Linked DNA regions of Elephas maximus indicus. The protein of the gene in region 1 purifies or fractionates together with the protein of each later gene. This does not show direct contact. Links are inferred from orthologs where the notes say so. Each region holds a gene or a part of one and is shown on either strand. Other genes may lie near its edges.

Region 1 (7,045 bases):
ATGCCCAAGGGACAGAAGAATGGGGACCGCTGGGTCTGAGGGGGCAGGGTCGCCACTCGGATGGACTAGGAGAATGGGGCCGCCAAAATCCAAGAGAGCAGAGTTGCCGTCCCAGTGGGGCTGAAAAGCAGAGTTGAAGCCCAGGGCTCAGGAGCCTCCACCCAGAATCCAGAAAGTGTGGCCAACACCCAGAGTTTGGAGGGCAGGGTCATTGCCTAAATTGTCCCAGGGAATGGATTATTTTCAAGTCTTGAGAGCTAATGTAATGTGTTCTGATGAGTTTTGGACTTGATTGTTCCCTGTTATCCCTTCCTTCCAATTTATCCCATTTGTAATGGAAATGTCTACCTTGTGCCTGTTCCACTGAGCTTTAGAAGCAGGTAACTTGTATTCTAAATTTCACAGATGAAGGGGAATTTTGCAGAAGATTTTTGGGATAATATGGGGTGAATGTCTTTCACATGTGGCAAGGACATGAATTTTAGGGGGCCAAAGGGTGGAACGTTATGGATTGAATTGTGTTCCCCAAAAATTCACATCAATTTGGCTGGGCCCTGATTCCTGGTATTATGTGGTTGTCTCCAACTTTATGGTCGGATGTAATTATGCTTTGTATTATAAATCCTAAGCTCTATGATGTTAATGAAGCAGGATTAGAGACAATTACGTTAATGAGGCAGGACAAAGTCTATAGTATTAGGTTGTACCTTGAGTCAGTCTCTTTTGAGATATAAGAAGCCAGCAGAGAGGAGAAAGACCTCCTACCACCAAGAAAGAAGACCTGGGAGCAGAGTTCAACCTTTGGACCCATGCTGACAAACTCCTAGATCTAGGGGAAGATTGATGACCAAGAGCTTCACCCAGGGCTGACAGAAAGAGAAAGTCTTTCCGTGGAGCTGGCACCCTCAATTTGACTTCTAGCTTCCTAGACTGTGAGAGAATAAATCTGTTTTTTCAAGCTATCCACCTGTGGTATTTCTGTTATAGCAGCACTAGATAACTAAGACAGTGGGGAATGCAATCACAGGCTGAACATCCAGGCCCTGGCTAGTTATGGGACCTGAGCATGGCAGCAGGCTCACTGTGTCTCCTTTTCTCCATTTAGAAATGCATGGTTAGACCAGGAACTTGCTCAGGACTCCCAGAGAGATAATGAGTTGTGTTGGGCCTTCAGGCTGGACAGGATTTTGTCAGGTGGAGAAACCACTCAACTAAGGAGTTATGTTTATCTTTCATATCCCCAAAGAGGGATCTTTGATTGAGAGTCAGGATTCATTCTGGTTCTACTGTTAAATTTGTTTTGCAATGTTTAGGCAAGCCACTCACCCTCTCTGGGCCTCATTTTTCTCAACTGCAAAATGAAAGAATTGAATGAGATGGCCTCTGAGGTCAGTCCAATCAAAAGTCCTCGGCTTCTGATTTTTCCTTTTCTCTGCCTCACATATAAACCTGGGAATACATATTTATTGACGTCTTGAACAGAAAGATAAAGAGCAAACAAACAAACGAAACAGTGCCTTCTGTTTAATGAGTGCTGTAATTTCTGGTATTTATTCTTGCAAGAAATATTTTCTTAGATCCTGGTATGTTCTAGGTATGATGGGGGGAAATGGGACAGAGGCTATACTGACACACAGAGTAGAATATAAAACACAGGAGACGTTGGGGGAGTGAGCAGCCATCTCAGATTGGAGGAGAAAATAAAGGAAGAAAATAGCTACTGAATGAAGCCTTTAAGGACAGGTGGAATTTTTTTAAAGACATTACAAAGGATACATAAAAAATTTCTTGCATTAAAAGGACAAACAATACAGAAGTACATGTAGTAAAATACACAAGTCCCCTTCACTTTTTCCCATCTGTAAAAATGGCACGGCCATGGCACCTCCTCTAACTTCACAAGGTCAAAGGAGTATCATGATCAACAGCCCAAGGCTGATTTCCTACGAGGCAGGGTCAGGCATGCTTCCTCTCTCTGCCGTCTTTACCTCTGACAGCATTCTCTACTTCTCTGCTGGATGCAATAATTCATTGTAATGGCCATACAGAACGCACAGACGATACTCACGATTATGAGGTTTATTAGGGAAGCAACAGGTTACAATTCAGGTCCAGGAACGCTCAGGATATAGTTCTTCCATCAAGACAGCCTCTTCTCAGCCATGCTCCCAGGCATGCCTCTCTCTGGTTCCCTCACCTCTTTCCTGCTTGGGCAAGTGTTAAAAAGATCTTTTAGCTCTGCTGTTAAGTGCCCTGAGGCACCCCACTCCTCCAAGAGGCCTCCATGGGTAGGTGCTTAGCTCTAGCTCTGTGGATCAGCAAACCTAGCTCTACCAAGTGTCTGGAGGCACCCTACTCTTCCAACAAGCCTCCTGCCTGAAGGTGCTCAGCTTTCTCCATCCGTGGGCTGGAAAGTCCACTGCACCGTCTCCTGCTGCCTTTTCTCTGCCACCACTTCTTACCATCTTCAGCGTTATAGCTCTTTATCTTTCTTGGTCACCTGGTTCTACAAGTTTCTCAGTGCAGAGGTCCTGGGTCCAAAGGACGCGCTCCGCTCCTGGTTCTTCTTCCTTGGTGGTGGTGAGAGCCTCTCTTCCCACCTGTGGGATGGCTCATTTTAAGCCTAGCGGGATGGCAAAGCCGATCAATCCCCTTGGTCAGCCACAATTACCTTATTTGCACAGTCCCAACCAATCACTTGGGTGGGAGTTATAGGACCATGGTGAGGAAGGCCACGCTAAAGCGGTCTTTGCACTGCACTATCCCTAGGGATAATCACCGTTAAACATTTTGGCACATGTCCTTCTTAATCCCTTTCCTATACACTTATATACAAAAGTCTACATTACACGTTTAGGATTTTTTATAAAACATATATATGAAATCATGAGGAATTATCCACCTTGCTTTGTTTACTTACACTAGGTTTTGGACATCCCTCCAGTCAGTAGTACCTTGTCTATTTTAAACAGCACATGTTTCTATAGGGTGGCGTTTCAGAAGCAGAACAGTGGGGTCATGGGGTACCTGCGACTTAAATTTTGATAGGCAAATTTTGATAAAATCCAACCCAACCCATGGTTCTTGAGTCGATTTTGATTCATAACGAACTTACAGGACAGAGTAAAACTGCCTCATAGGGTTTCCAAGCCTGTAAATCTTTACCGAAGCAGACTGCCACATCGTTCTGCCGGGGAGCAGCTGGTGGGTTCCAACTGCCGACTTTTGCTTAGCAGCGGCACTCTTAACCACTGGGCCGCCAAGACTCCTTCAAATTTTGATACTACTGAATGACCTTTGGTCGAATGCCAGCATCCCCAAATACTGGGGGTCGTTTGTGCTTTGTAGTCAAAGGAACTCTGAGACCATGACTCACGAGACCTAGTTCAGCACCCTGAGCCTCAGTTTCTCCATCTGTAAAAGGGGATGTTCTACCAGGTCTCTGAGCTCCTTCGGTGACTGGAATTTACATGAAGTTCTGGGGTTGACCATTGACCCATCACCACGTAATTACTGAACCGTACACAAGGAAACCCTGGTGGCGTAGTGGTTAAGGGCTGTGGCTGCTAACCAAAAGGTCAGCAGTTCGAATCCACCAGCCGCTCCTTGGAAACCCTATGGAGCAGTTCTACTCTGCCCTATAGGGTCGTTATGAGCGGGAATCGATCGACAGCGATGGGTTTAGTTTTGGTTTTACCGTACATAAGGTGCTGAGAACTGCGAAAGTATCAAGCTGTCACAGCCTTGCCTTGCCGGACGGTCCTTCACTTCACTTCCGCCTTCCCCAGACGCCAATGAGTCCACAGCAGTTCCTGCCTACAGTAAAAACTACAAATCCCAGAAAGCAATGTCACTGTGCGTCAATCAGGATGGGTGGGCCGCGCCCCTAAAAGCAGAACTACATTTCCCAGGCGGCCTCGGGACCCGCCGATTTTCCTCTGCTTGCGTTGCGTTAGCGTTCTCCCGCCCCTTATCCGCGAGCCTGGCGCCAACTCGGCGCGCGCGCGGGGTACGTAGCCAGCGAGTGACGTATAATATGTGGGCCGCTCAGGAGCCGTGGTCGCGCTGTGTGTGTCTGTGTGTGTGTGTGTGTGTGTGTGTGTGTGTGTGTGTGAGTGAGGGAGAGTGTGAGTGCGGGACTTGAGGCGGTGCGTGTGTGAACTGTGGCCGCTGGCGGGGTCAGGCGGGAGCGGCGGAGCCGCCCGGGAAGGTAAGTGAGGAAGGGAGGGATACGGCTCTCCCAGAGAGGGGCGGAGAGACAGGACGCGCGGGCGGGAGAGTGGGCGCCGGGCTGGGGGAGGGGCGGCACCTGCCTGGGCCGCGGGCGGGGAGGGGGCGGGCCGGCGGAGAGGCTGGGCCCAGGGCTTGACAGTCCCTTTTTCTCCTCTTGATTCTTGACCCGGGGGCGGGGCCTCCATAGTCTTCCTCTAGTCCCCAAAAGAAGCTTCCCGAGAGTACTTTTCCGCCCGGAATAGGGGGCAGGGGCATGCCCGCCCCTACCTGGAGAAGGGGCGCCGCTCATTCCCTTCATCACCTTTTTTCTCAGTCTTCCCAGCCTTCGTTCCGTACGGGCCGGGGGTCTCCATCTCCCCTGCCGTACGGCGGCCCCCTTCCCGGACGGTGTCTCCGCCTCCAGTCCCAGTCACCTGGGCGGTCTCTCCCTCCCTCGGCCTCGTGCCACCTCCCCTTCCGCCCGCCCTGCTCTCGGACGGGGCGGGGGGCGGGGCTTTCCGGGCATTCCTCTCACTCCAGCGGTGGAGGGGAGGGGCCTGGAGAGGTGTGCGGGTCCCTCAGCGTGGGGCCGACTTTCCGGCAGCCTGTTTCCGGGTTTACAGTTTTCGACAGGGTGTCAGAGGTGTTCGCTTAGCTCTTTTCTTTCTAAACGCTCTCCGTCTCGCTTCCTCTTACTGCGGTAGTAGCGCTCTGGGTTCCCATTTGTTGAGAAAGTAGGTTTGGAGTGTTTGTAGTACTTTTTGAGCCCCAAATGGCTCGTCTTTGTCTGCTTTGTGTTGGTCTCAGTCTTTCGTACTTTATCTTTTCATTGAAACATTTTAATTAGCCTACATGTTTTAATTATTAATTCATGTAGCAGCATCTTCCTGTTCTAAACGCTTCTTTAATGTACAGGTTGAAGGGTTCATTGGTAGTAAAAACCACTGCCGTCACCCTGTCATTTGCAGGCGTTTACCTTTAAGGTTTGTGAAGCGTGTATATTTAGACTCTTTAATTAGAAATTGATTTGATATTTTTCTACTTGATGTTGTCAAGATTTGGCTTTGTACGTAGCAGTATTCATTACCCACTTTCGAGTGGCGATAAATTTTTGGATGTTGAGATAATAAGGAGTCCTGGTTGCACAGTAATTAAGCTCTGTGCTGCAAATTGAAGGTCGGAAGTTCGAACCCACCAGCCACCAGGGGCTCCTCAAGAGCAGAGAGTCAGCTCCCGTGAAGATTACAGCCTAGGAAACCCTATGGGCCAGTTCTGCTGTGTTCTATAGGGTCTCTGTGAGTCTGACTCGACGGCACACGACAAGAAAAGAGATAATAGACACAGAATTGGTGGGAGTTTAACGGAGTCATCTTACGCTCAACATCTCTTGGGTAGTTGCTGAATAGTGTTTTACTGTTCTACCTGTTGTATAGCTGTTTAAATAGGGGAGGAATCTGGTAGAATGAACCACTCGTTAATTTGAAGTGGTTGGAGTTGGTTTATTGCCAATTTTCTTGTGTTGTTTTTGTAAAGGAGATGGTCATGGACGGTACTAAATAGGTTATATGTTCTCGTATTTTAATAGTAATTATTCCGTAAATTTTTACTTGAAGCTCTAAACTTGGATTCCCCCCCTCCCCCACAGATGGTTGTTTCAGTATTGTAACGTTTTAAGGGACCTGTCTTTAACATGAGGAGCCTAGTGGACAGTGGTTAAAGCGCTTGGTTGCCAACCAAAAGGTTGGAGGTTGCAACCCACCACCACTTCATCAGCTGCTCTGTGGGAGAAAATGTGGCAGTCTGTGTCCATAATGATTTATAGCCTTGGAAAACCCCGTGGGCAGTTCTACTCTGTCCTATATGGTTGCTGTGACTCCATGACAGTGGATTTAGTTTTTTTGGTTTTGTCTTTAATATGGACTTTATTTTTGGCTTTGGGATAGTTTCTGCAGAATAGGCATTTGCTATTGTGTATTAGAACTAAGAACAGATTTTATGGTTATATTAAAAAGTTACTGAAGGTTATAGTGGGAAAAAGGTAGAGCTGGAGTAAAAAGTGAAAAAATCTCTCTCCTACCTTTATCACCCAGAAAGTTACCTGCCAGAAGAGTAATAGATACAATTAGTTTCCTTATTCTTCCAGGGGCCTTTTATCCTAGAAGGAAGAGAGACAGGTAGGTAGATGTAGATATACACTTGTACACACACCCACCTTTCTCATTCACAATGATAGCATCCATGGGTAGCGCATGTGATTAAGCACTCAGGTACAGTGTTAGCTGAAAGGTTGGCCGTTCAAATCCAACCAGAGGCACCTCAGAAGGCAGGCCTGGTAATGCGCTTCCAAAGGTCACAGCCTTGAAAACCTTACGGAGCAGTTCTACTCTGCGTACATGGGGTTGCCGTGAGTCCGAATTGACTCGATGGCAACTAACAACAAATATGTTTATAGAGTTCTGCCCCTTGCTTTCCTCTCTTGACATGTGTTTGAGAGTTGATCCAATTCAGGAAAGAAAATGCTGCTTAGTTTTTTCCAACTTTTTACTGAGAAAAATTTCAAACATACAGGAAAGTTAAAGAATAGTAAAATGAATACATTTCTACCCATCCAGATTTTTATTTATGTACTGTATTTTTTTTTTTTAAATGTGTTTTCAGTGAAGGTTTACACAGCAATTTAGGTTCCCATTCAACAGTTTTTGCACAAGTTGTTCAGTAACATTGCTTATGTTCTTGACAATGTGTGAACATTCTCTTTTCCTTCTGGTTGTTCCCTTTCTGTTTATTTAGTTTTCCTGCCCCCTTACATTCTTATCTTTGTTTTAAAGTAATT
Region 2 (8,079 bases), on another chromosome or scaffold:
GAAGGTCACTGAAAAAGAGGAAGACCCTCAATGAGGTGGATTGACACAGTAGCTGTAAAAATGGGTTTAAGCATAACAATGATTGTGAGGATGGTGCAGGACTGGACAGTGTTACATTCTGTTGTACACAGGATGGCTATGAGTTGGAACCAACTCGATGGTACCTAGAAACAACAGCTACCGCATGAAATTATTCTGATTAGAGTGGAACTAGAAACCACAAGACCTGGATTGCCAAAAGATCCTTCTCCCTATTCTTCTCTGGTTTGCAAAATTGTATCATTGTTCCCCTCATAGCAAACACTCTAGTAGAGAGATTCCCTCATAACTTCTGCTACCACTTTACCTGTGTAAAGTGATACAGCTCCCAGTGTGATTCCCTCTGCCTGGGAATCAGCCTGTACCTAGCTTGCTGCTCCCCGTGCAGCCTGATGCGCCTGTTTCCTGGAAGCAGATTCCACTGGCGACATATCTATGAGCTGTTCCAATAGTGGCCACTACCATGAAAGGACTAGTCTGGGGGCCAGCTGCTGGGGTCCCTACGTAGTGATGACATTCCTACCCTTCCAAGCTGATGGACACTGGGCACCTCTTTGCTGGCATTTGTCATGGTGGTTCCAAAGGTTTGTCTTGGGCAGAAGTTCTACTGAGCTTTGTCTATAGCTCTGTATCAAAGCCCTCCCCACTTGTAGGATATAGCTTTCTCTTTTCCCACTTCTTGGTTTTTAACATTAACTCTGTCCTCGAGGTGTAGATAGAAAAAGCAGACCAACTGATCCCACAAAATGCTGGACTACATCCTCAGTGTGCCCAGATACACAGCTTGCCTCGGGGAAAAATGCACCCTACGTCACCTAGGCTTAAGAAAACTGACTTTTGAATGTACCCTGGCCAAAACACAAACAGTCTGCTTTAGATCATCAACTTTCTAGTGGTATAGAAATCTCTTCTTGATTTCCACACCAGCTATGGCCACAGATCCACCTTCCAGAGGCAAATCTGGATACCTTATGGTCATTTAGTTATGATGCCCATGCCCACTGGATCTGAGGAAGTCACCTTCATGGACTTCAGACCTTAAGATCTTCATAGTCTTCTTTAGATGGTATTGGACCGTGGTGATGGACTCATGGAAGGGACCCAGGAAATGACCAATCAGTTCATGATGTTCTCCTAAAGGGAGCTAAACCCACATTACCCACTCTTCTACCTAGTTCTTTCAAAAGACCTGTACCTTGCGTTCACATTTCCACAGGAGGAGAAATTTGGAATACTTCTTAACCTGAATCAATCTATTCATAGCTCTAACCCTATGAAGATAACAGCACCACCCTTCTCCCTGTCAACCCAAGGTCCCTCTATTCTGAATTGCTCACACTTTCGGGAACAAACTATGCTTTCTCACACTTTGGCACCTCTACAGTTTTTTTCTTTTTTTTTTTTTTGCCCTAGAATGTCCTTGCCCAGCTTGTCTGACTGGCAAACTCCCAAGTATGCTTAAAACTTTCACTGAAGCACAGCCTCTTTGATGTCAAACACCACTTAAGTAGAGTTCATCACTGTGAACCACCTGTGTACCACCCTTGTGCCTATATGCCTCGTGTTTCACCCCTATCATATCATTAAATGTCTTACCTCCCCTACTGAATCATAAACTTCTTAATAGCAATGACCAGAGCTAGCGTCAGGGATTATTTATTTAACTGTGTAGTCTTGGTGCTAATAGTGTCAAAATTATGTTAGGTGCTTAATGTTTATTGTGTAATTGAATAATAGAATGAGTTCCTAAGAGATTATCCAACCAAAGCCTAGTCCATTACATCTGATTATTCATTATGTCCCCTAGGCCTAGACGTTTCTGGGATAAGGGGATTAGACGAGTGAATGTGTTTGAAATGAGCAATTTTCTTGTTCATTTCTAATTTTCTTTGTGATCAGTACTTTTCCCAGTGGAAAATTAACTTCCTTCCAAAAGGCTCAATTATGAAGAAAAAAAAAATTTTTTTTTTTTTGAGTCCCTCAAAATTGTTTTCCCTCTAGTCCTGCTACATCCTGACTACCTACTTGTTAGTTAAAGCTGGATTTTATAAACTACAGAACAGTTTTTACAATGGCCAAAAAATCAAAAAGCAGACACTCTTACTAACTGAATGGAACCTGCTGAGGAGGTTGCTATTTAAAGTCAACATGGCTCTGGTCTGATTTTAAGTTGTGAGGATTAAATATGATAAGATTTTCAAAAGGATTTTTATAAAGAGATGAATATACAGTATAATTGATAGCGATACATTATCGTAATAAAGTTTGAGAATAATAACTCCTAGTTTTGCCCTGTCCCTTCTCTCTAAAAGCCCAAAGAGTGAATCGTGAATCTATTTGACCTTCATTCGGGTTTGAGGTTATCATTATTTAACAGAATGAGAGACCTACAAGAATTGTAAACACTGTTTTAGAGGTCTATAATATATAAGAATTAATATCATTTTCCAAAGTTTGCCATTTGTCATTAAATTAGCTAAGGATTAGGTAAATTCAAATTTTCTTTAAATTAAGAAACAACAAAATATAAATTGAAACGTTGATAGTTGTATATGAAACGATATACAATAAAATTTCCCTAAATTTTTTTTTCTTTTTTGTTTGAAGTTAATGATTCTTTGTTTCTCTTTATTTAAAAAAATTGTTTTAGGCCCCTTTTTTTCTCATATTTAAGGTGTAAATTATTATTACTAATTTGGCAGTCACCATGACTTTTGGTACTTAGCATTTTTTTGATACTTAACATTTCATAATCATGAAAAAACAGCAGCATATTTAGCTTCTACTAAAATATTTTAAAAATATTTTAAGTGAAAATGTGTCAGGTGTCAGGTTATGTTAAAATTGATTTTTTTGCTTCAAACTTTTTTTGAACATCAGTTGCATGGGGTACTCATTAAAAAAGTAAAATGGTATGAAAACAATCACTTTAAAAGAGGCAGGAAGGAAAAGGGGTGTGAGCTATCCATGGTGGCGTAATGGAAACATGAAATTATACTGGGAATCGGGAAACCTGGGCTCTAGTTTCGTCTTTGCTACTAATTAGCCTTTCTCTTAGTTTATTCTTCTGAACACAGAGTATGTTTTCCCAAGTGCATTTGAATTTGATAGCCTTAGATGACAAGTTTAGCAGAGCATTTCTTGCTGGGGCCAGATCAGGCCTTGTTTCTTCTAAGGGCATGTTATTGGATTGATTATTTTACTGTGGTACTAGCTGTTTTATGGTTGTTGTGTGCCATTGAGTCGATTCTGACTCACAGGACCTTATATGACAGAGTAGAACTGCCTCACAAGGGTTTCCTAGGCTGTAATCTTTACAGGAGCGCACTACGTCTTTTCCCCCAAAGAGGGTCTAAGAGAGGGTCTAGTGGGTACTAAATCGCTGACCTTTTGGTTAGCAGCACGGTGTTTAACCCTTGCGCCAGTAGGGCTCCTTAATATTTTATTAGAAGGCACCTATGGATTTTTTTTTTTTCTTACATTATTGGATATAACTAGGCAAAATTCTACTCTGCCACCCGTGCTCTCTGGCAATGTTCCCTACGCTTCAGGCCTCATAGGAGATCGGGAGACCTTGAGGGAGTCAAGCTGAACCTTGAAACAGTGTTCGGCATTAGTACAGAGGGTGGGGATGTAGCTTGGACTCTGGCTACACTTGGGATGATCTCTGCAGGAGGTTGCTATGGCAATTTGCAAACAGCAGGGCCAATGGGACTCCAGCAGGAGGTGGCTCCCTTACGATTTGGTTTGAGCCTGCGCTTCTTCAGGCCTGTACACTTGGTTCAAGCAAGGGCCTGAAGATATAACGGGGACATAGCATAATGGACTCATGTCCCCAGAAGAACTCCAGAAACAGGGCACCTCTCAGGGAGGAAGTGCACAGCATTGCCTTCTGCAGCTTCATCCGGGATTTGCCCGGCTTCTTTTTTTTTTTTTTTCCTAACTGATGAAGTGGCAAAACCTATGACCTTTGGACAAAGTCGTGTGCCAAGCACTATGGGCGCGCGAGTGCGAGACGGGCAAGAGTTTTTTCACCTTCAAGGGAAAGAGGGGTTGTAGATGGTAAACCAAAAGGGTAGGGAAATTTTGTGTCTTGGAATGAAAGAGGAAAAGACTCGTCTCTGGAGGTGAGAGGAAGTAGAGGTGTCTCTCCCTTATGCCAGAAAGCTGAAAGGAAGGTGTGTTTCTCCCAGTGGCTGCTCTGGGGAAAGGCTCAGAGTTGTAAAGAAATGGGAGGTGTCTCTGATGTTTATTTTTGCCTAGCAACCCACAGCCGACTGCTTCCCTTGCTGCCTTCCACACGCGCCACTCTGCCTCCCCTTGCCATAGCGACTGGAGAGCGGTCACTTGGTGTCAGTAAATCCGGGAGGGTGTGTGCGGTAGAGGTGGAGGTGGGAGGGCGCCCTCTCCTTCGCCCGTGTTCAGGGTCACCCAGCTAAACTGCAGTCCTCCAGGGGGCTTGACTCTTAGAGGTGACCTGCCCAAACTGAGTTATCTACGTGAAAAATTATTGGCGGGGACCGGAAAAAGGGGGGAGGGCAGTATTGTTTGCGAGAACCCATTAGGTTCGAAAATCTGAAGATGCTTTTGTATTTCGGGGCGCGCATAGAAGGAGAGGGGTCTCTGCAGCGATTTCAGTAGCAGTTGCACTGTAGGGAAAAAGAGGGGCGTTGCAGGAGCTGGAAAGGCCGAGGTGGGGAAAAGGTTATTACTGGGGGATCCGAGGGGAGCGGCGCAGATGGCCGGAGGGGGAGGCGGAGGCTGCAGAGTTTTCCGGGGAGTGGAGGGGTGGTTATGAAGATGATTTAGTGGGGGAGGGACTCCTGAGGGTGGCTGGATGGGGGTGGGGTGTACGTGAGGGTGTGAGGCTAGGGTGTGGGGGGAGTCCGGGGGAGGGGCTTGCAGCGGGAGTGGGGAGCGGGGGCGGGGCTGCCCTCCTGGTCCGCGCCGCGGGCTGGGGCCGGAGTGTGTGTGCGCATTTGTGTGTGTGTGTGTGTGTGTGTGTGTGCGCGCGTGTGTACGTGCGTGCGCAGGGGCGCGCGCGCGGGCGCGCGAGCGAGCCCAGGAAGAAGCTCCCGAGCGAGTCGGTCTTCGCGGCCCAGGCCGCTCCCCCGCGCCCCTATGTGAGGGAATCGGGGAGAAAAGCGGCGCGCAGGGGAGGGCGAGGCATGTGCACGGGCCGGAGGGTGCTGCAGCCGCCCGAGGAAGAGGAGGACGGCGGCGGCGGCGGCGAGGAGGAGAGCGGGGTGCTCGCTGCTGCGGGCCCGGGCCGAGGGGATGCAGCGGACTGTGTGTGTCTGCCTGTAGCTGACGCGAGGCGGGGAGGAGGCGCCGGAGACCCGCGTGAGGAGCGACCAGGAGGCGGCGGCGGCCTCGAGAAGTAGCGGCAGGAACAGCAGCGGCGGCGGAGACGGCAGCTCTGAAATGCATTTTCCTTTCCAGCGGCCATGTTAACCAGGAAACCTTCGGCCGCCGCTCCTGCCGCCTACCCGACTGGTAAGGAGGGCCGGGCCGGCGAGCCGACCCCGGCGCCCGCCCCTGCCAGCCCCGGCACAGCCCCGGGCGAGCCCTCGTGGCGCAGGCGGCCGCCGCCGGCTGGACCTGGAACAAAGTCTCCGGCGCAGCCGGGCGGCGCGGGGGAGCCCCCCGGGCGCACGGCGCGCCCTCGCTTCGGCTCTGCTCATTGTTGCTCGCGGGGCTGAAGGTTCCTCCGAGAGGGAGTGCGCCGGCCCAGCCGTGGTCCGGCCCGTCGGGGTTCGGGCGGGGGCCGTCCTGGGCCTCCCCCAGCTGGAGCCGACGAGAGGGGACAGCTCGGGGCCTGGGGAGTCTGTTGAGCCCTCTTCGGCGGCGCTAACCTCTCTCGGCCAGCTGCTGCCTGCAGCGTGGGCCGCGAAGCCCCGGCCTAGCTCGGTTTTTCCAAGGGGTCGCGAACTCGCGTGCGAGGACCAGACTTAACTTTGCAGCTGCCTGGGCTCCGCCCGTGGGTGCGCGCTGGAGATCCGCGCCCCGGACCTCCGTTCCGCCGCTCACTACCCGTTTTTTACTTTCCCGGTTTCTCTCTCGGGGAGGGGGGGTTTGCTACCCAGAGGGGTGGGGCGGGGCGACGGGGTCCGGGTGATTTTCTACCCCCTGACCCTCTTTTGTCTCCTCCTGCGCGTGGTCCCAGGCCGAGGAGGGGACATCGCCGTTCGTCAGCTTCAGGTTTCCCCGGGGCTCGGTGCAGGGGCCCCCCGGAGCGGAGTGGGGACCGGCCCGCCCTCCCCCATCGCCCTGCCGCCTCTCCGGGCCAGCAACGCTGCCGCCGCAGCCCACACGGTGAGATCCAGCCCGCGGGCGGCCGGGGGAAGGTCGGGAGGGGGCCCGGGGCAAAAAACTCCGGACTTGTGGGGCTCTGACTTCCGGAGAAGAGAGGTCGAAGTGAGCGGCTCCACGCCCCTGGCCAGTGGCCTCTTGACGCCACCCTCTGTAAGTTGGGCGAGCGCAAAGCTGCAGCCACAAAGGAAGATTCCTGGCGTGGGCCCTCACTTCCCCTCCCGAGCCCGCCCACCGCTGCCCTCCTCTTCCTCGGAACTTCCTCCTTGCCGCTTTCCTTCGCTCTTCCCTCTTTTTTCCTTCTTGCTTCCCAGAGCTCCCATCCCTGACCGGGTAAACATCCCTACCCCCTTGTGGGTAGTGGGTATTTATAGAAACAGATATGTGTTAGGGGACAGCCGGCCGTCCAGCCCGGAAAATCAATCCCCCAAAGAGCCTCTCAGGCCTCTCCAGCCAGCAGGGAGCGCTGCCAATTGTACCCCGCGTGTGTAAGCATGTTTTATGAGTGCTACAGGTTTGAGCGCAGCAGAAATTGTAATTAACAGTAACGAAAATAAGAGCAGCAGCAGCAGTCAAAACAAAACAAACCACCCCTTTAGGATTCTGCAGTTGGGCACTATTCTAAAGGAAAGAGTCAGCTTTGCTTTGGAGATGGGAAGGGAAGGGCACCTGATAGGTGCTGTGGGTCCCTAAGGGGGCCAGAGGGAAGGGAGAGCTCAGCATGGAACTGGTGGCTGCAGAGATTGGCAAACTGGATTTGACTTCAGCATGTACCTTTTCTCAGCTCCCAGGGACTGCCCATGGATGGTGACTGCCAGCGGAGAGGAGGCCTGCGCTTGGAGGAGGTGATGGTTTCAGAGGTCTTTTTCCAGCTGGATTTTCCAGAGAAACTGCCTAGGATGGTTCTGTATGAGGGATGCTTGCTAGGGCTGGTTTGCCCAGTGAAAGTTGAAAAGACCATTTCTAACCCACAAGGGAATAGCTCTGAGGGCCACGTATGTGTTATGGGCAAGCTGTTTATCAGAGGAGAATTTGTGAGAGGATGACTGGAGTGGAGTTAGGCCTGTTAGACCTGGAGAAGCGTGTACAAGTTTCATAGGAAAACGTTTTGTTCTCAGTTTTTGTTGTTGTTGTTCCTTTGACACAATTAGTCCCAGGGGCTAGGGGCTAGGAATTCACTACAGAGAAGTCGACTAACCTGTATTGGATGTTGACAGTAGAGTCATGTCAGTACCATAGGTGATGCTGTGTATTATGGTTGAATGTTCTTGTCACAGTGTCGTTTCAGTGGAGGAACTGCATTGGTTTTAGGGGTTTGTATTTTTTTGGTTTGGTTTCAAAACATCTGAGAATTTGGAAAATACAGCACCCAACTTTCTTCACGTGGTGTTGTCATCATATAACTTGGTGTGAACTGGGAAAGAAATACTTGGTTTGCGTGTGGCTTCCAGTTTTATAAAGTTGGGCTTTGCTTGATCAGAGACTCTTTGTCATTAAAACACACAGTGAATTTAGAGAAAACGAAAGGTTTACACTGGGAGAAGAGCCTGTGGTTCACCCCAAATGAAAAGATGTGGGCGTGCTTCTCAGAGCTCCTAATGATGGGTGTGTGTATTTTGTTGTGGCAGCTGCCTGATTTACCTGATTTTAGCTTAAGTGAACTTCAATATGTTGTTAATAATTAGATGCCTGATTTTGAAAGTGAGAATTTGGGTTTTGATTTTTGTT
Region 3 (7,841 bases), on another chromosome or scaffold:
GTTATCCCTGTAATCACATCTCTTTCAATCACTTTATCCTTGAGAGGAAGAAAGAAGGGTGGAATTACTCTTAGCTATTTTGAAATGAGTGTGACGTTTATCCTGGTCCATTTGCCACTATCCAGGTATTTAAGCTTCAGTGTGCATCAGCATCACCTGCAAGCCAAAAACCAAACCCATTGCCATCGAGTTGATTCCAACTCATAGCGACCCTTTAGGACGGAGTAGAACTGGACCGTAGGGTCTCCAACGAGCGGCTGGTGGATTCGAACTGCAGAACCTTTTGTAGCAGCCAAGCGAATTACCTGCAGGGCTTACTAAAACAGATTGTTAAGCACCACCTTCAGAGTTTCTAAGGTAGCAAGTGTAGAGTGGGGCCCAAGAATTTGCATTTCGATCAAGTTTCCAGGGATGGTGATGCTGCTCTGGGAACTACAGTTTGAGAACCACTGCCACAGTCTAAGAAAACATTGTGGGTATTATGAATTGCTGTAATGCTTTACCTCTCTGCAATATGTTTTGGGCTCTCATTAAAATCTGCGTACACTTACGGAAACATGTCCTATGTGTCAAAATATCTGTCTTGTGTACCACAAGAGATCAAAGATTGAGGGCCACTTGCTGCCATGAAGTGTTCAGGGGCATTGCCATCTTCGAGTGACAAGTGTTAAACTCATTCATCTAAACACGTCTCATGTCCACCAATTTATTTCCATCTCAACTTTTAAAGTGCAATTACTACTATCCTATCTCATGTCAACTACTCATGTCAGCTCCTAACTGGCTCTCTGAAGTTATCCACCTGAAAGCAGACTAGTTTTTTCTGAATGTAATCCTATCACACTACCCCCTTGCATAAAACTCGCTGATGGCTTCTCAATCTTCTCAGGAAAAAGCCGAGTATCTCTAACACAGTTTACAGGAGATGAGCCTGTAAAAATGTCATGATGCCAGACCTCGTCTAACTTCAGAGAGAGAGAGAATTACCATCGACATCAGCCCAAGGCTGATCCCTGTGAGGCAGAGGTCAGACATACCTCCACTCTCCAGACTTTTTACCGATTCTGACACCAGATGTCCCTCTGAAAGCACTCTCTATTTCTCTGCTGGGTTCAACAATTCATTGCACTGGCCACACAGAATTCATATCCTATACTCACAAATTCTGGGGTTTATTAGGGAAGTAACAGGTTACAATTCAGGCTCAGGAATGACTCAGGATACAGGTCTTTCATCGGGAACATCTTCTCGGCCATGCCTGAAGGCAGGCCACTCCATGGGCGGCTTGCCCCTCAGCCTGGTCTCTGCCCTGCTAGGGCAAGTGTTACGAAGCTTTTTAGCTCCACCAATAAGTGCCCAGAGGTCCCCCACTCCTCCAGGAAGCCTCTTGTATGAACGCTCTTAGCTCTCTTGCTCAGTGGGCTGGGAAGCCCACTGTAGCCACCTCGCTCCGTGGGCTGGGAAGTTTACTGTGCCATCTTGCACCAGTCTCCTAGTTTTGCTGCTGCTGATTCTCTGCCATTAGACTCTGCCATGCTTGCCGCCACTTCTCACTATCTTTAAGCCAGCACTGGTGTTACAGCTGTCTTGTCTCCTGGGTGTAGGAGCTTCTCAGCACAGGGACCCTGGCTCCAAAGGACGTGTTCTGCTCCTTGCTCTTCTTGATGGTACAAGTCACCCTCTGCTTCTGGGATTGGCTCCCTTTAAGCCTAGTGGGATGACAAAACTGACCAATCCCCTATAAGGGTTCCAAACACCTTATTTACATAGTCTCACCCCTGCAGGTTTCCACGTACCTTATCTGCATTATTAGCAGGCTGTCCAATCCCCTTGGTCCGCAAGCACCTTATTTGCATAATCCACCCAATCATTTTGTGGGAATCCCAAGATCATGGCTAGAAGGGCCATTTAAAGTACAGCTCCTTGATGTACACCCAACCCTGGACAGGTGAGACCAACAGATTATTAGTCACATATACTCACATCTTGCAAGAGGAGGACATCACATGTCTTGCAGGGCCACGTAGGGTTGTACTTGGGAGCAAAGTGAACAAGCAGGGGCTGTGGGAGGCAGGCTTTGCAGCGCCAAGTGGGTGGCGTGCCCCTCGTTCTGATGGGAGAATATGATTGGCTTGTGACATGGAATATAAAATCAAGTGGCATCTGACCTCAAGTAAAATGGCTGAACTAATGCTATGGCTCAGTGTAACCTTTCACACAGATTCCAACACTATTGCTTAGGAACCATCCCTATCATTAAGGAAATGGTTTTCTTGGTTAAAAAAGTAGATACTGTATGTCCTGTGGTCTATAACTAAACCATATCTAAACCCTTTGTTTCAGATCCCCTCAGGAGATTTTATGCTCTGGGCAAGGTAATGTTAACACTTTCCCAACAGTATCCACCACGCCATTTTTTTGTGACGGTCATGACACTCCCTCTGAGACCACATACCTTGCAATTATGTCCTTCAGCCAATCAGTGTATTCCAGCTGTATTAATGTAACCAATAATGTTAAAAATCACGCTTTGCTTTGTCCCGCCTTTGATTGACCTAAATCATTGTGAACCAATCAGAATATTGTGTTCTGTAGTTCTTCCTATGGCACTATAGCTATGTATGATTTGCACCCCCTCCCTTGGATCTGTGAACTTCAGACTCTGAGGTTTCCAAGATCCCCATCTGAATGATATATTGGCTTCAATAAATCCCTTTGATTTTACTTTAATAGAGTTGGAGAGTCTGTTCTCTACAACACTTGTTTGAGTAATTCCCCAATCTGGCAGGGAACTAAAACCCAATATTCAGGAACTGTGCCTGGTACCTTAGATAAGAAAGGTTGTTTAGGTAGGGCACCTTATCCGCAAGAGCAGAGTGGGTAGGGAAACATGCGGTGAGGCCATTTGAGGCCCTTATGGTTTCAGATGTCAAGGCAGCACATAATGAACCTTAATTTTAGGTCTTACACCACATCCATGTCTACCTTGCAGTCTCACCCCATACCACTGCCCTCAAACCCCAAGGACCTGCATTTAGTTCCTCCCTCAAATAGCATGCTCCCTCCCATACGAGGGTCTTGGCACATGCTGTTCCCTCACATAGGAAACTTTCTTTCCTTTTTTGCTTATTAACTCCTGCCCTTCCTTCAGAGCTCTGTTTAAGTGTTATTTCCTCAAGAAAACCTTCCCTGTCACTGCCATGTTGCATGATCTTAGAGAACCAAGTTCCATTCCTAAACAGCACTGACCCCTTTTTTCTAGTCTTTATTGCATGAAAGGAGGACCATAGCTGTTTTTACTCACGAGTGTATCCCCAGTGCCTAGCACAGAAACTAGCACATTGTAGGTGCTTGTCTTAGTTATCACAAATACCACAAGTGGATGACTTTAACAAACAGAAATTTATTCTCTCACAGTATAGGAGTCTGAATTCAGGGTGCCAGATCCAGGGAAAGGCTTTCTCTCTCTGTTGGCTCTGGGGGAAGGCCCTTGTCATCAATCTTGCCCAGGTCTAGGAGCTTCTCAGCACAAGGATCCTAGCCAAATAACACTTTGTTCTTCTGGACATCTTGGTATGATGTCCCCTTGACTCTCTGTTTGCTTCGATCTTTTATATCTCAAGATACAACATAATCGTGTAGATTGATTCCTGCCTCATTAACAAAACTGCCTCTAATCCCACCTCATTAACATCACAGAGGTTAGGATTTACAACCCCTAGGAAAATCACATCAGATGACAAAATGGTGGACAATCACACAATATTGGGAATCATGGCCTTGCCAAGTTGACACACATCTTGGGGGGACACAATTCGATTGGTAACAGTGCTCAATAAATACTAGTTGAAGTTTTCGCAATGAGTATTTATTCAGTCCCTAATATGCACTAAATCCTGTGCTAGCCCCGAAAACGGAATGGAGTTAAGACAGATGCTTGATTTCATGGAACTCACTAGCAATGGATACGGTACTAATTAAAAAAAAAAAAAAAAGAAATGGCCACATGAGCAGTACAAACTGCTTAGGGAGTAGAGTGGTGAAGGGACAGATCAATTCCAGAGACGAAAAACCAAACCCATCGCTGCGGAGTCAATTCTGACTCATAGGGACCCTACAGGACAGAGTGGAACTGCCCCCATAGAGTTTCCAAGGAGCACCAGGTGGATTCGAACTACCGACCTTTTTGGTTAGCAGCCTTAGCACCTAACCACTACACCACGAGGGTTTCAATTCCAGAAAGGAAAACCAATTTATCCATCAAGTATCTAACGTATAGTTCTATGTGCTAGGCACTGTTCTAAGTGCTGTAGGTTGTTGACGTCACTGTGCGAATTTTACATGTGGGGAATCGGAGGCACAGGCCGATCAAGTAAGTTGCTCAAGGTCACACAGTTCCCAAGCAACAGAAAGGGGATTTCTAACCCAGACTGCCTGGCTTCAGAATCTATGCTCCACTACCTCATAGGAGAAAACTTTCGGAAGAGGTGGTCAGTGAGCCGGGTCTGAAGCATTTGGCTAGGTGGATAAACGGGGCAGCCATCCTAACAGAAGCTGAAAATATGACCTACATTATGAGTTTTGTTTCTCCCTTTGGCTCAAGATGGCTGTGGGGACCTATTACACTAGAGCACAGGATTAAAAAAAAGAGAAATTTAATTTCCGGCTACGGCGAGTACCGGAACGGTTTCCACGGAAACAGTAACCGGGTCCCAGGCAGGTGAGCTCTCGCGGTGCTTGAGCAGGCGGAAGTGACGACACACCCTTCGGTAGGCCCTCGGGTGAACCGGTGCCGCCCCTCCTCCCCGAGCGGCCGCTTTTTCCCGCCGAGCTGCCTCTGCTGCTTGGGCAGCCAGGGGGAAACATGGCGTCTGCCCTGGAGCAGTTCGTGAACAGTGTCCGGCAGCTCTCGGCTCAAGGTGAGGCCACGGGCCGTGGCTGGGTCTGGCGCGCCCGCCAGGCCCCCAGGTGATGGGGCTGTGGCCCCGACGCCGGCGCGGACGGGCGGGCTGCCCTTTTCGTCCCGAGACCCTTGTCTGGGACTGGGCTCGAGGCGGCGGCGCTGAGACCGAGGGCCGGGCGCTGCTGACTGAGCCGCCCCCTTCGGTCTCAGTCTCCATCGCCGCCGCTACCCTCGGGGCCCGCCGCCAGCCCTCCCTTGGCCGCGCGGACCCTCTCTTTCGTCCACCCGGCCCGGGCCCCTTCCACGGGGCGCTGCTCTTGACAGTTTGGGGGCGGCAACTTCCGCCGGACTCTTCCGGGCGCCCATTGGCCCCTTCCTTCGCCCTTCCCGTCGGTGATTGGTGAGCTACCTGTCGGTCCCGGCAGCCCTGGGCCGCCTGCTGACTAGGCCGCGGGGCCGGGCGGGCAGCGAAACAATCCAGGGCGCCCGGCGCCACGGTTTCAGCATCGCCTGCGTCCCCCCGCCCGGCCCCTGCGGCTGTTGACCGGCTCACGCCCGGGACGCCTCTGCGCGCCTATTTGAGTCCTACAGATGCAGAAGACACCCTCGCTCATAGGACTCCATTTCTAGGGGTAGAATTGTTCCCGTTATTATTTTCCTCTTAATTTCGCTGTTAGGCTCATTCATCTCAACATCTGAACGTAGAGCACCGGCCAGACTCCTGGACTCAGGAGTTAGAGAAATTAGATACTAGATGCGAAGGCCCCTTTAGCTATCTCGTGCTATCTATAAAGTTATGAGGATTCGGTGAGAGAAACCGTGTATAAAAGCACTTGGAACAGTGCCTGCCATATAAAGGGCAATAAGTAAAGTTAAAAATTATTGTTAACAGCCATTAATTGTAACATGCTAGGAGCTGTGCGATCTTGGACGAGTCACCTTTAATCTCTTGAGTCTCCTTTGTAAAAATGAAGATGTGATATTTCCCTCCCTGTTATTGTAAGCCCTGAATGATCTGCTGTGTAGCCGTGCTTAATACATAATAGTTCTCGCTCATTTTCCTTATTAGTGATAGAAATTTGGCTCACAGAAGAGGGATAGACTTGCATTTCTGTATGAATGAGGGAACCGTTCATTTATTCCACACACACTTAGTTTGTACTTCCTGCGATGTCATGTGGTTAGAAGAGCCCAGTTGGAATCTCAGTCGCTTAATTTCTCTGGCACAATTTCCTTTTTTATAAAATGGTAATAGGACTGTTGTGCAAATCACATGGGATCCCTTACCTGAAAGCTTTGGGTACATACTTGGCAAGACACCGTTTTAGGGGCAGTCTGCCAGTCAGAGGTGAGTATAATACACTCACTGCCCTCAGTTTCTGTGCCTCCTGCTCACTGCAGATTAAATGATTTTTTTGCTATTTTCTCTGCTTTTATTCAGAATTTTCTAACATGGACCTTAAATGATGGGGATGTTATAATTACCAACTTTCTCTAACTAGAGGGAATTTCATAGGCAGCATCTCTGGTTGTGTTCATTTCAGTGCACCTTGACGCACTGAAACTGACTTTTGACTTTCCTCTTGGCTGGGCACTATCATGATTTTCCGGTGGCCCAGCTTATATTTGTCTCAACTTGGCCTGGTTATTTAATTGGAGGGAAAATAATGGGCTGAAATGCTTGCTTCTGGATGTGTCATATTGTTGTAAATGTATTTAAAGAAAAAAGGGGCAAGTAATTCAACTAGAAGAAGCTGATTATTTCATACCTACTAGTGAGATCTATGGAGCCCTGGTGGTACAGTGGTTAAGAGCTGGGGCTGCTAACCAAAAAGTTGGCAGTTCGAATCCACCAGCCACTCCTTGGAAACCCTGTGGGGCAGTTCTTCTGTGTCCTATAGGGTTGCTCTGTATCAGAATCAACTTGATGGCAACAGGTCTGGTTTTTATTTTTTAGTGAGATCTCTGATAAAATGATGGTGACATGATAGTTCTCAGTTCAATCTGTGTTTTTATCTTGAAACTTGATACCTAATAAGATCATGGGTATATGTTTATTCTTGTTTTGTGATGCATGTAATAATAATGAAATGTTTCCTTTATTTTTTGGTAAAAGTGATCAAATCTAAAAAGTATGGTATAGATACCCCAGAAATTAAATTATCAAGGTGCGTGGCTACAATCGCTTGGATTTTAAGCATTATTCTATTTAAGTGTTTTATTAAGAAAGGAAACATAACACAGCTACTAAATAGAAATAGCTAATATTGGTACCTTGAAGTTCAAAATGTAGAAGAGAAACATCGAAGGAGGAAACTTAAGAGACTAATGCCCATGGACTTGTATATACACCTACCACTCTCAATAAAACAGCCAGTAGAATATGGTAGTATACAGTGTGACCATGGCATCTGTCATCAGAATAATTATCAAAATGGGTAAGTCCACTCAAAAGGAACAATTCAAGCCCAATTAAATTCTGTACCTTAGTTGTTAAAACGTAACAGTGTTGTTGTTAAGTTGTTGTTAGGTGCCCTTGAGTCGGTTCCAACTTATAGGGACCCCACACACAACAGAACGAAACACTGTCCAGTCCTGCGCCATTGTCACAGTTGTTGGTATGCTTGAGTCCATTGTTGTAGCCACTGTGTCAGTCCATCTCGTTGCGGGTTTCCTTCTTTTTCGCTGACCCTCTCTTTTACCAAGCACTGGGGACAGATCCCTCCTGATAACATGTCCAAAGTATGTGAGATGTAGTCTCGCCATCCTTCTAAGGAGCATTCTGGTTGTACCTCTTCCGAGACAGATTAGCAGTCTATGGTATATTCGGTATTCTACACCAATACCACAATTCAAAGACGTCAGTTATTCTTCGGTCTTCCTTATTCATTGTCCAGCTTTCACGTGCATATAAGATGATTGAAAACACCGGGGCTTG

What was found. Proteins that work in one complex are often made in the same cells at the same time.
Region 2: the proteins of DCAF1 (region 1) and DYRK2 purify together in Homo sapiens (affinity purification with western blotting; 5 studies listed by BioGRID and IntAct, with this or other methods). This does not show direct contact. The link is inferred for Elephas maximus indicus from reciprocal best matches to the Homo sapiens genes DCAF1 and DYRK2.
Region 3: the proteins of DCAF1 (region 1) and COPS3 purify together in Homo sapiens (affinity purification with mass spectrometry; 5 studies listed by BioGRID, with this or other methods). This does not show direct contact. The link is inferred for Elephas maximus indicus from reciprocal best matches to the Homo sapiens genes DCAF1 and COPS3.

The regions. Positions count from the first base shown.
Region 1 is NC_064838.1:55,676,614-55,683,658, reverse strand, and holds the start of DCAF1 (DDB1- and CUL4-associated factor 1), read left to right. Parts: upstream 1-4,018; 5' UTR 4,019-4,210; intron 4,211-4,639; exon of another isoform or gene 4,640-4,946; intron 4,947-7,045. UniProt on the Homo sapiens protein: Acts both as a substrate recognition component of E3 ubiquitin-protein ligase complexes and as an atypical serine/threonine-protein kinase, playing key roles in various processes such as cell cycle, telomerase regulation and histone modification.
Region 2 is NC_064822.1:128,254,320-128,262,398, forward strand, and holds the start of DYRK2 (dual specificity tyrosine-phosphorylation-regulated kinase 2), read left to right. Parts: upstream 1-4,995; 5' UTR 4,996-5,486; coding exon 5,487-5,535; intron 5,536-6,205; coding exon 6,206-6,354; intron 6,355-8,079. UniProt on the Homo sapiens protein: Serine/threonine-protein kinase involved in the regulation of the mitotic cell cycle, cell proliferation, apoptosis, organization of the cytoskeleton and neurite outgrowth. Functions in part via its role in ubiquitin-dependent proteasomal protein degradation.
Region 3 is NC_064820.1:215,229,515-215,237,355, forward strand, and holds the start of COPS3 (COP9 signalosome complex subunit 3), read left to right. Parts: upstream 1-4,757; 5' UTR 4,758-4,864; coding exon 4,865-4,919; intron 4,920-7,841. UniProt on the Homo sapiens protein: Component of the COP9 signalosome complex (CSN), a complex involved in various cellular and developmental processes.